Ovis aries: one gene and its partner. The protein of the gene in region 1 interacts with the protein of each later gene in a biochemical or structural test. Links are inferred from orthologs where the notes say so. Each region holds a gene or a part of one and is shown in the gene's direction. Other genes may lie near its edges.

What was found.
Region 2: the proteins of UBE2D3 (region 1) and PRPF19 form a complex in vitro, tested with the Homo sapiens proteins (2 studies listed by BioGRID). The link is inferred for Ovis aries from reciprocal best matches to the Homo sapiens genes UBE2D3 and PRPF19.

Annotation. Positions count from the first base shown.
Region 1 is NC_056059.1:22,372,309-22,378,385, forward strand, and holds part of UBE2D3 (ubiquitin-conjugating enzyme E2 D3), read left to right. Parts: intron 1-2,345; coding exon 2,346-2,423; intron 2,424-3,330; coding exon 3,331-3,436; intron 3,437-4,628; coding exon of another isoform or gene 4,629-4,666; intron 4,667-5,691; coding exon 5,692-5,785; intron 5,786-6,077. UniProt on the Homo sapiens protein: Accepts ubiquitin from the E1 complex and catalyzes its covalent attachment to other proteins. In vitro catalyzes 'Lys-11'-, as well as 'Lys-48'-linked polyubiquitination.
Region 2 is NC_056074.1:34,596,976-34,603,052, reverse strand, and holds the end of PRPF19 (pre-mRNA-processing factor 19), read left to right. Parts: intron 1-735; coding exon 736-891; intron 892-1,113; coding exon 1,114-1,183; intron 1,184-1,406; coding exon 1,407-1,492; intron 1,493-1,796; coding exon 1,797-1,967; intron 1,968-2,094; coding exon 2,095-2,200; intron 2,201-3,596; coding exon 3,597-3,694; 3' UTR 3,695-4,083; downstream 4,084-6,077. UniProt on the Homo sapiens protein: Ubiquitin-protein ligase which is a core component of several complexes mainly involved pre-mRNA splicing and DNA repair. Required for pre-mRNA splicing as component of the spliceosome.

The DNA of each region.
Region 1 (6,077 bases):
ATCAATGATGAGATCCTAGTTTGTGGCTTGACTATTGTGGTTTCAGTTTTTGAGACATCCGAGTAGAACATATTCAATAAGCATTTGAATATATGTCTTAGAAGGAATAACTACACTAAAGATAGATCCTAGAATTACCAAAATAAGTGTGGGACAGGAGATAGAAGCAGAATATCATAGTTGCCTTAGGGGAAGAGTACAGACAGACACTGAGGGAGGAGCAGTTTGGAGTTTGGACTAATTGTAGCAAAATTAGGGTAGAATGTTTCTAAAGAAGAGATCTGTTATGAATTCTTCATTTCTAAGATTGGCTCGGTTTGTCTATCAAAGTATTCCTTTTTGTTTTTCTTGGTATATTTATTTGATTTATGGTAAATTCAAATGTAGAGCCTTAGTTTTTAGGTGACATATTTTGATTACCTTTAGATCATGTATTGTTTTTACCAGTTTCTCCTCTTTGCTGGAGTTTTGGTGTTAATTTGTAACATTGAAATATTTTCATTCTATAAGGTTTTTTTTTCTTGAACAAGTGAGATGAAATTTGATTTTGACTAAATCTATTGTTAGACTGCCTTTAAGAAGCAGTCAGATGTAGAGCTTGATTGTATGAAACTTGGAATGAAAGCTTAAGCAGAATTTTTGAAATTAAAGCTTAATGAAAACATGTTTTCATTAAAACAGTTTACCCTTAAATTGTTAACTGTACTCGGTAAAAACATATCTTCCATGAGCCTATTTTATAAAAGTGTAAACTATTTGAAGCATCTATTTCCAATTAATAGTCATTATTTAACAATGATATGTTAATTTAATAAATTTGGGTCACATTCTTGTGTCTGATTTGTCTGTACTTAGCAGATGCTATTTTGCAGTCTTAATTTTCTTGAATTAGAGTTTTGTAGGCATTATGAAGCAGAGGGACTTGGAAGTAGGAAAGACATTTAAATAGTAGCTCTCCCATTAAATCATATGTATCTTTTAACTTGATCATCAGTATACTTACCATTCTCCTTTAAACCCCAGGTATATACCCTTTTTCATTTCTTTATAATAGCTATAAAATTTCACTATATGTCTACCAGACTGTAGATTTAGCAAGATGAGAAATTATTCTGTGTCCCTTTTCACTACCTAGTAAGTAGAATGGAGTTAGTAATTAATGTTTAGTAGTTTTACAGAGGGGTGGGATTAAATGAGCTGTACTACAGTGTCAGCCCTGTGAAGGTTATTTGCCTCGAATAAGAAGTGGGCATAGTATGATACAAGGTTCATGATAGCACTGTATACATCCTCACTCAAATGGAGAGGAATGGGTATTGACAATAATTCAGTTACTGCAGATTTTCAAACATATTTCCAGGTTGACTGCATATCCAGAGGCAGTTATGCAATTCCATTTTTTTAAAAAAACTCTTTGACCTTAAAATCCTTGACTACATCATCATCTTTTCATTCTTTGGTATGTTTAAGTCCTATTTCATTTACTCATGAAATGGCAACAGTTGCATCTTTTTCTTGGTATTGGTTAAATTAAATGTGGAATACTAGTAAGTTTCTCCCAAATGTTACTTCATACTAATGTTATATGCTATTTATTTACTGAGGAGTTTTTCATACTCAAATTACAGTGAGCAAAACATTTAAGGAGAAAAAGTACTGCTGTAGCTTGAAATTTTGTATCTTCTGTTTCAAGTGTGCAAAGCAAACATCCCAGCTTTTCCAAATCTAGTAGTTTTATGTATTGACTTACTATAAAGAATTTTGTGGTGTAATTTTGAAGAAAAAGCTGTCATGGTTTTATTAAATGAGAATTTTGAGGGGCCAATTGGGAACTAAACTTCTTAGAAACTTCTTTGTTTCTATTCTACTTCCCCTATTGAAGGGAGTTATGTTTACCTACAAGGGATAAATTTCTGGTTTGCCAGTGACCAGAATAGCCTGTTAAGGTACAAAGTTGTTTGTGTATATATGACTGTCATTAGAAGAAATGCTCAACAAACAGATATAAGCTTTATTTTCAGATGATAATTAGATGCATTATTATGTAGACTTCATTCTTACCTGTACTTGATGAGAACTAGGATCTCGAACCTTGTGTTTCTGAATAGTTTTTCTAAAATTCTTTGACTGCATGTAAAATAGGATCTAAATTATGATTCCTTATTCTATAGTAAATATTATGGTTTTTCACTAATAAGAACTTTATCATGGAATAATTTAGACTATTTTTGTGTAAATAGGTAATTTTGCTTCATATTAGAGAAATGCTTAGCAAATAAATGTTGACATGAATTATTTAGCAGTCATTTTAAATAGCAGAGTTAAGCATATTTTTCTTTTCACAGAATGACAGCCCATATCAAGGCGGTGTATTCTTTTTGACAATTCATTTTCCTACAGACTACCCCTTCAAACCACCTAAGGCAAGTATTCCCTGCCACCCCCAAGTCTGTGAGTAAAGATTTGTATTTTATTCAGAAGAATAGAACATTCCTAGACATTAGGGTTCTGCATAAGTTAAGGCTAAACTACTGTGAGTGTATAATGAATAAGAATAATTGGGGCTTGAATGTATATACTGAATTAAATCACTGATGTTGAATGCTGACTGTTAGCCTTAGTTAAAAGAAGAGCTAAACCTGGATTTGAACTTTGTAACTGGAGTTAAGAATTGCCTTATCCTTTACGTTGCAAGGCTCAACTATACCATGTGGAAGCATTTTTCTCACTTTATTGTGCGTATACAGATTTGGATCAGTAACTCTAGTGTCTTAAATACTAGCGTTCCAAACACTAACCTTCATTGTGCGTTTTCACACGTTGCTAAAAAATATACCATTATTTGTGTTGGGATTTAAGACTACAGTATATTTTGGCCTTTAAATGAAAATACTTTTATGATATTCAAATGCGTGTTTTATGTACAGTTGGAAATGGAGATTCTAATACATGCTTTTGTACCTTGATGCCTTAAATGAGCTAATCTGTATGCTTTGGTCTACCTCAGAAAGTTTCTAATTTGTTAGTGAATCCTAAATTCCCTTCAAGTTGCTCCTTTGATACTCATGCTATGGTAGGGCCAAAGTTTACCTTCAGAACAACCCACCATATCACTGATAATAAAATTTTTGCCACATGGTTATATTTTCCATTTTAATTAAAAAGAAGCCCCTGAAGGATCTTGGTCAGAATATAGATATTTTTATGTGTATAACTTTAGCTATTAGATTTTTAAAATTTTTAACTATTTTAAGTGTAGCTATAGTTTTTTGCCAAAGTTTACAATGCTTGTTTTTATTTGGGAAAAATAAAGTTGTTTTTTTATTTTAGGTTGCATTTACAACAAGAATTTATCATCCAAATATTAACAGTAATGGCAGCATTTGTCTCGATATTCTAAGATCACAGTGGTCTCCTGCTTTAACTATTTCTAAAGGTAAAATACTAGCGGCTTTGATTTTTCTAATAGTTAAAGGAGTTTCATTTTTGAGCTGACTTACCTAAGTATTTTTATAATGCCAGCTTTTTAATAAAGATGGGAAAAGGAATAAGAAGTTACATCCTTTTTGCTCTTAGCAGTATTGATTAAAGATTTTTTGGGAAGAAGTTAACATTCAGATGGAGGGGGCAGTATTTGCAAATATCAATAGCAGCATTTAATAGCTTTCTTAGTATATTTTTCAATCCCAAGCCACTTGTACATCTCACTCATTTGTTGCCATTTAGCAAAAATGGTACACCTAAAGTTAAAAGAGCTTTTGAACTTGAGGTTTCTTATGGGAAAATTCTGATTTCATTTTCCTGTGTTTCTTATTTTTTAGATAAAAAATCTTTTTAAGAAACCTTTAGTTAAGTTTTCATGTATCATGGTAGGTTGTTTCCTATCTAATAATAGTCTAAAATGCATAGTCTTGGGAAAGGTCTCTAGATAAATTCTGCTCTTCTACTTTAAAAGCGATCTGTTGTGTGGCATTTTTAATAGGTTGTCTAGTTTCCACATTGATGTTCCAGATGGAATATCTCTCCATCTCTTTGAAACAACTCTGGTGGCTTTTATGTCACTTTTACCCCACAAATAAAAATCACCTACCACACAGCTACTTAATGAGAAGGAAGTCTGCCTTTTAGTGATATTCAGTTTTTGATGCTGGCTTATTAGCATTCCTTAGTACACAAAATGAGTTTTTAATGTTGCTAATTATGACTGAATTTCAGATATTTGAGGATAGCAGCTAACTTGAAGCATTCTCATTTTTTGGCTGAATACTTAATGTAGCATTCCCCAGATTATTTCCTGAAATAGTTAGTAGTGTTTTACAAGAAGTTTTATATTTAGAAGTGTGGTAAATGCAAAGTGAAACAGGTTTTGTTTGTTCATTCGTTTGTTAAGTCAGGACATCAAGCCTTTTGTGTCCTTGTACAGTGCATTTGAATCTCTCTGAAGGGACTGTCTAGCATTCCCAGAATTGTTTTTGATTAATCAGAAACACTTTTGTGTGGGGAGTGGGGACAATTTGGGTAAATGCTGCTGTCGTTCTTTTAGGTGCAGCATTGTTTTAGGCCCATTTTTTACCCCCCTGGATACATTCAAGTTTCTTTTCAGGTCTTTTCTTTTCTCTTAACACCAGGCACCTGGTATGAAGAAGACTTTAATACTATTTTCCAGGTTTGTTTGGTTTTACCATCATTGGGAATGCACTGCAATACTGAACACTGTTTCTGTAAATGCAGATTTAGTTTTATTTCTGATCCTGCACTTGAGTTTAAAGTTCTATTTTCTATGATAATGTATTTTTTTTTCATGGTATTGCTATTATCTTCAAGGATTGTCATAACCACATTAAGCTTTTATGTCGTAAACTTTTTATAAAACTTTGCACAGTGGCACATAATTCGTATTCACAATGAATTAGATACATATTCCTAATGATGCTTTACATCTTTTAAGTTAATGTTTTGAATAGGTCAGTGTGAGAGCTGTAGCTGAAGAACTACTCAGTAGTAGATCTTGGTGGGTTGTTTTGTTTTTTTTTTTTTTTTTTTTAATTTAACCAGAATTCTTGGATATGGTCTCTACCTTATAAATTCTGGGAGATAAAACCTGTAGTCATTGGGGCAGTTGGGTGTTTTTGTGAAACTCCCCCGAGAGTAGGACAGAAAATGGATTATTTTATCAAGCTAAACAGCTAAGCATATATTGCATAGCTGTACTCTTATTCAAAGTCCCCACCCCCACCTCCCTCCAGCCATTACCAAGAAACTCCACTTGACTATTTCAGAAGGTTCATAGAGAGAAGTCCTTGGTGGTCCAGTGGTTAGGACTCCACACTTCACTGTAGAGGATACAGGTTCGGTCCCTGGTCAGGAGTTCCCGCATTCAACGTGGCATAGCAAAAGAAAAAGTAATATAAATTAATACAGTAGCATTTCACTATCTCAGAACTTCTGAATTTGGCAGATTTTTGTATCTAGTCAGTAAACTAGCTAACAAATACCTATTTTTAGGATCTCTTAACTACCAGGAGCTTGTCTTGTATGAATCAAAATCTCTGTAAAGCTTTGTCTTATGGAAATTAAGATAGAAACTAATCCTCTTTTGAGGATTGAGGTTTATATTATAATACTTGTTTTTAAATACTTTTATTCAACCAAATTCCCAGTTGTGGGTAACAGACATTTGTTTTCTTCCAGTTCTTTTATCCATTTGTTCACTGCTATGTGATCCAAACCCAGATGACCCCCTAGTGCCAGAGATTGCACGGATCTATAAAACAGACAGAGATAAGTAAGTATGTAGTAATTTGAGAAAACAACATAAAAAGTGGCTTTTCTTAATGAGTTAGTATTATATACTTTGCTGTAAGTTGTGGCATGATGCCAAGGAGACTTGATGCTTATTTCCGGTAAGATGGTAGTTGAAATGTGCAGAAGCTAGTTACTTAAATGTGATTGGCTTTTTGTTGTTGTTGTTTTTTAATTTACTAGGTTATGTTTTCTTTTTCTAACATGTTCAGCAGTTTGTCACTTTTAAGTTTGAGGAAGAAAGGTATTTTTTCTTGACCCCAATCACATTTAAA
Region 2 (6,077 bases), on another chromosome or scaffold:
AGAATCTCTACACTATTTTAAAATACAAACTGCAGTGCACAGAGTTCAACAAAATTCTGCCCCATGTGTCTGCCCCATGTGTCTGAGGGGGATGGATAGGTCCAGATTCCCACAGTCTTCCAGGCCGGGGGATGGAAACTTGATGCTGAGCGTGTTAGTATGTTATTTCTCTTATGCAGTTGTGTTGATGGAAGATGGTAGTTGGTTTTACCTTACAGGTTTTAATATCCTAACTAACCAAAATAGTAGGTTGGTGACACTATGTGAGTTCTCTGTCACCAGTTTTTCTGAGAATTAACTTGCCCTTGAATTCTTAAGTGTGGGATGCTTAGGAAATGCCTTCACAACCCCTTCCAGGCCTGCTACAGCTTGGACTTGTGCTGCCCTAGGACAGGAGCCATTAACTACATGGGGCTATTTAAATAAAATGGAATTAAACATTCAGTTCCTGAATTGCGATAGGTGTATATCTCTGGTCCTGGGAAAGGGATGGACAGTTTCCCTCTGGTTCACTAATTCTTTTTACCACTAGATGGCAGGACCTCCTCCACTTGGCCAAATGCTGTTTAATTTCCCATCCTAGTAGTGTTTACCCTTTGGCCCACTCAAGCGTTGTTGTGGGGATGGAAGGTTCCAGGCCCAGCAGGGCTGTGGCCGTCCCCAGCCCGCTTTTACAAGATGATTGTGGTCCATCTCTTCTGTCTCTGATAATCTGCTTCTTTGCTCTCCTTTTAGGAGCTGGTGTTTTCTGCCTCCCCCGATGCTACTATCAGGATTTGGTCGGTTCCGAATGCCTCTTGCGTACAGGTTGTTCGTGCCCACGAGAGCGCTGTGACAGGCCTCAGCCTCCACGCCACTGGTGACTATCTCCTGAGCTCCTCTGATGACCAGGTATCGTCCCAGCCAGGCTCTTGGTCCCCAAACTCAGGTATCCTGGGAGGAGGAAACATCTTACCCAGCTGGGTCCCCAGAACCAGGAGAGAGTATTTCCTCTCTACAGAGAGGGGATGGCCTTGCCAAGGTCTGCCCAACCAGGGTCCCTGCCTTCCTGAGGGGCCATCAGAACCTGGGGACCCACTGTCTTACCAGCTCTGTTGTCTCTTTTTTTTTCAGTACTGGGCCTTCTCTGATATCCAGACAGGACGTGTGCTCACCAAGGTGACCGATGAGACCTCTGGTTGCTGTAAGTTGTCTCCTAAGTGTTGGCCTCTTCAGTCGCTGTATATTGTTTAATGTTTTATTTAGTTGTTGCTCATTTGTTCTAAAAAATACATGCTGCCAGTGCTTGCTGGGTGCCGGGCATAGTGCTGGCCCAGGGAGCGTGAGGAACAGCGAGGAGCCTACCTTTGCTGTGCTTAGTATCTTGAGGGTGGGCTCTGACCGTCTGTCTGTCTCCCCCCCAACAGCTCTCACCTGTGCGCAGTTCCACCCTGATGGACTCATTTTTGGAACAGGAACCATGGACTCTCAGATCAAGATCTGGGACTTGAAGGTAGGACATGGCTGTCCCCGTCTGCAGCCCAGGGTTGGAGCTCTTGTCCCCGTGTGGTGTGATGAAGTGCTTATGGCACCTGGCCCCGGGGGTGTCCCAAGAGTGGGGAGACAGGGGCTGTGTGTGTGACAGTACTGTGTGTGTGGCACAGTACTGGGGTCCCCAGGCTGGGCGTCCACCCTTGCTCTTCCTGCTGGTTGTCCTCCCTGAGGGTGGAGGACGTCTCAGGAGTGGAGTTGTCTGAGCTCCATTTTCTCCCTCATGACCAGTGGGTGACATTTTACTCCCTGCTCCCCAACCACAGGAGCGCACCAATGTGGCCAACTTCCCCGGCCACTCGGGCCCCATCACCAGCATTGCCTTCTCGGAGAACGGCTACTACCTGGCTACAGCGGCCGATGACTCCTCTGTTAAACTCTGGGATCTGCGCAAACTTAAGAACTTTAAGACGTTGCAGCTGGATAACAACTTTGAGGTACACGTCTTTCTCTGTCACCCCTCCTCCTCGTTTGTCAGTGAATTACTCTAAACTGCCTCTGTTTTCCCCGAATTGCCCACAGTTTCTGCTTCCTTTCATGTGACTTCTTTCCTGATTTTGGCAGGTGAAGTCACTGATCTTTGACCAGAGCGGTACTTACCTGGCCCTTGGCGGCACCGACGTCCAGATCTACATCTGTAAACAGTGGACGGAGATTCTTCACTTTACAGGTAGAGGCTTGCCCTAAGACCCTGAGGTCTCTGGGTGCTCTGGCCCAGAAGAAAGTGGGGAAAATTTCACTGGGTTAGGGGTTTCTAGTGGCAGGCGTGCATTTGCCAAGGCCGCTTTTAGTCACTCTCTGAGGCAATAGAGTTTAGTGGCTAAAACAAGGAACTCAGGAGTCAGACTGCCTGACTTTAAATGCTAGCTCTGCCACTCGAAGCTTTGTGACACTGGGCAAGCTACTTAACTTCTCTGGAAAATAATAGTACAGTTGATTCTCCACAGACTCTACCCACTGTGGATCAAAAATATTTGTGGGCGGAAAAAATCCAGAAAGTTCCAAAAAGCAAAACTCAAATTGCCCGCACACTGGCAACTATTCATGTAGCATTTACACTATATTTAAAATTATTGGCATAGAATTTGTGCTGTTAGGAATTACAAGTTATTTAGAGATGATTTAAAGTATATAGGAGAATGTGTGTACATTATATACAAATACCACCCCAACAAAGTTGGCACCTCCTAATAGTAGTGTGGCCTCTGGTGCATGACTTTCCCTTTTGGAGCTGTAGTTACTTCATCTTTAAATGGGCGTATTGACACTGCTTCGCATATTGTGCCGGCTGGTGCCCTGGAGGTGGCCTGCATGGGGACAGGATGCCTCTTGCACCTTCAGGAACTGAAGGAATGGCAGCTGCTGCCATCTTTGTTAACGAAGTTCTTGTTCTCATTAGCGGGTGGTGGGCGGGGCACAAGCACCTTCTCCCACCCCAGATTCTACTCACTGTGTGTCCCAGAGATGGCCAGACCTGATGGTGTGGCCCATGGGTTTTCACCTTCCCTGGGCCCCGGTGCCTTGATTTAGAGCAGTCAGTGGAGTGGCGGGCTGGAAGCACAGGGCAGCGTTAGAGTGGGGAGCTGGTGGGCCAGCTGTGATTGTGGGAATTTGCCCTGATGTCCATGAACTACCTGAGCCCAGCGGAGAGGGTTGCCTGGCGTCTTTTGCCCCTGACCCAGCCTTCTGTGTGAGCTAGGACAGGCTGATAAGACTGTTCCAGTTACACACAGGGGCTCAGAACTAAAGACCAACAAGTCCAGCTTCCTGTCAGTTCTCAGACTTGGACTGAGCCGAGCAAAGCCAATTTGTAGCTGCCCTCGAAAGCTTAGGTGGCGGAGGACCGGTGTTCCTGTGTTCACTCAGCCCAGCCACACACAGTGCCTGCTGTGGGCCAGCCCCAGGGAGGCTCTGGAGCTCAGTGCCATGTAGAGCTCTGGCCTTGGGGGTTTCCAGGCCGCGGGAGGTTTCCAGGTCACAGGGACGGGTGGGGAGCATGTCATAGGGGTCGACGCTGAGACCCCAAGGAAGAAAAGCCTCCTCACCGTTGTCTTGTCTCTCCACAGAGCACAGTGGCCTGACCACGGGGGTGGCCTTCGGACACCACGCCAAGTTCATTGCTTCCACGGGAATGGACCGGAGCCTCAAATTCTACAGCCTGTAGGCGGCAGCTCACCAGACCGGAGTGGGGCCTCGTCTCAGTAGAGGGATAGCATTAGGGGTGGGGGTGGGGGGCAGGGGAGAAGAGACTACTGGGGGGTGGGGGGTGTATGGGGTGGGACATTCGCATCATTTCACTCTGGTCCCGGTGGTGGCCTGAGAGCCGCAGTGGCATGGACCACCCTCATCCGTCACCCTCTTGAGGGCTCAGCGTCGGCCCCAGGGCCTCTCTTCAAGGAGTTGATGGAGCTGATGGCTGTTCCACACCCACCGTGTTCCAGTTCCTGTGAGTTGGAGAGAGGCTGAGCCAAGGGAACTGTGAAGGGACTGGGCCGAGGGCTCAGGAAGGTTTTTGTAAGCAGCGCTCTAGTTTCATTAAAAAAAGAAAACAAACGTAGCCGCCTTCCTGTGTCTGTTTGTAGTGGGGAGAATCAAGGGGAGGGAGCACCAGTTAGGGCTTCAACCACCAGGATGCCCATCATTCTGTTGTTTCTTTAATTGGACAACAAATTTAAAAATAATCTACAAGCCATTTGCCAGAATGATTCTTCCACATTCCTGCAGGCCTTGACTTTGTGATTTATGGGGTTTTATGTCACCTGCCTTGGGTGGCTCCCATGTGAGCCTGGAAGTGGGGGAAGGGGAGAGTGCTGAGAATCTCGCTGCCACAGAACCGGCCATCTCTCAGAGCATCCTCAGTCCTTCAGTCCAAGGCGACAGAAAATCTGTCTCAACTGGCCTGAATCAGAAATCCTTCTGTGACTGGTATTTGAAGATTAGAATTCAAACTGGTCTGGGAGGACCCAGCCAGCAAACAGTAAATTAGCAGAATGTCAGGGAGCTCATGACCCCTGTGGTTGGGGAATTAAGGCAGGCTAGTCCTTGTGGCTGCTTTGGGTGGTCAAAGGCCTTTTCTAGATGATAAGCTGATGGGTGACTGATGGGAGCTAAGGGGAGGAGTGTTGCAGTTGAGGGAAGGTCCTGAAGCTGGAAGATCAAGATGCGAGCTGCAGGTGCAGGAAACCAGCATGGCTGGAGTGGTGCCACTGGGTATGGCCTTGGAAGATCATCAGTACCCTTTCAAAGAGCGGTCCCAGTGGAACATGAAGGAAAACAATATGAGATGACATTTTGTTCATTTTATGCCTGAAACAACCTTATCTTTAGTTGTCCAGCAACTGGGCAGCTTCCTGCACCCCCATGGGGCTTCAGGCACCTTGGCAGTCCAGCCTAGAAGGTGGGCTCTGCGAGCTTGGGGACAGAATCCGGGCTTTGGCACTTAGTAGAGTAAGGCCACAGACAGATTGATTAATTTATCTCTGTTTACTGTCCATTAAGACCCGAGCGGAGTGGCGTGGCTGGCTGGGTGCCCCGACATGGAGGCCAGGAGCGCCCCGAGCTGCCACCTGCGGTTCAAGTGGGTGTACAGCTACCGGGGCCACCAGTGCCACAACAACCTCTACTACACGGTGGCCACGGAGATCGTGTACTTCGTAGCGGGCGTCGGCATAGTGTACAGCCCGCGCGAACACCGGCAGAAGTTCTACCGGGGCCACAGCGATGACATCATCAGATATTTGCCTGAATAAGGGCGGGCGGCTGCGACTGGTGCACTAAGTGTGGGCGAGAGGAGCTACCCCACGTCCGAGGTCAGGGGCAGCGGCCGAGAGTGCCAGGCTGCGACAGCGCAGGAATGGCCGAGAGGAGCTACCCCTCATCCGAGGTCAGGGGCGGAGGCTGGGAGAAGAAACTCCATGTCCAAGGAACGGTAGCTGCGCGGGCGCAGGAGGGCCTAGAGGAGCTATCCCACGTTGAAGGTAAGGAAGGACGGCAGTGAGGAGATACCCTTCCTCCAAGGTAAGGAGCAGTGGCTGCACTTTGCTGGAGCAGCCATGAAGAGATACCCGACGCCCAAGGTAAGAGAAACCCAAGTAAGATGGTAGGTGTTGCAAGAGGGCATCAGAGAGCAGACACACTGAAACCATACTCACAGAAAACTAGTCAGTCTAATCATACTAGGACCACAGCCTTGTCTAACTCAAAGTAAGCCATGGCCACGGGGCAACCCAAGACGGGCGGGTCATGGTGGAGAGGTCTGACAGAATGTGGTCTACTGGAGAAGGGAATGGCAAACCACTTCAGTATTCTTGCCTTGAAAACCCCATGAACAGTATGAAAAGGCAAAATGATAGGATACTGAAAGAGGAACTCCCCAAGTCAGTAGGTGCCCAACGCGCTACTGGAGATCAGTGGAGAAATAACTCCAGAAAGAATGAAGGGATGGAGCCAAAGCAAAAACAATACCCAGCTGTGGATGTGACTGGTGATAAAAGCAAGGTCCGATGCTATAAAGAGCAATAATGCATCAATTCAGTTCAGTTCAGTCG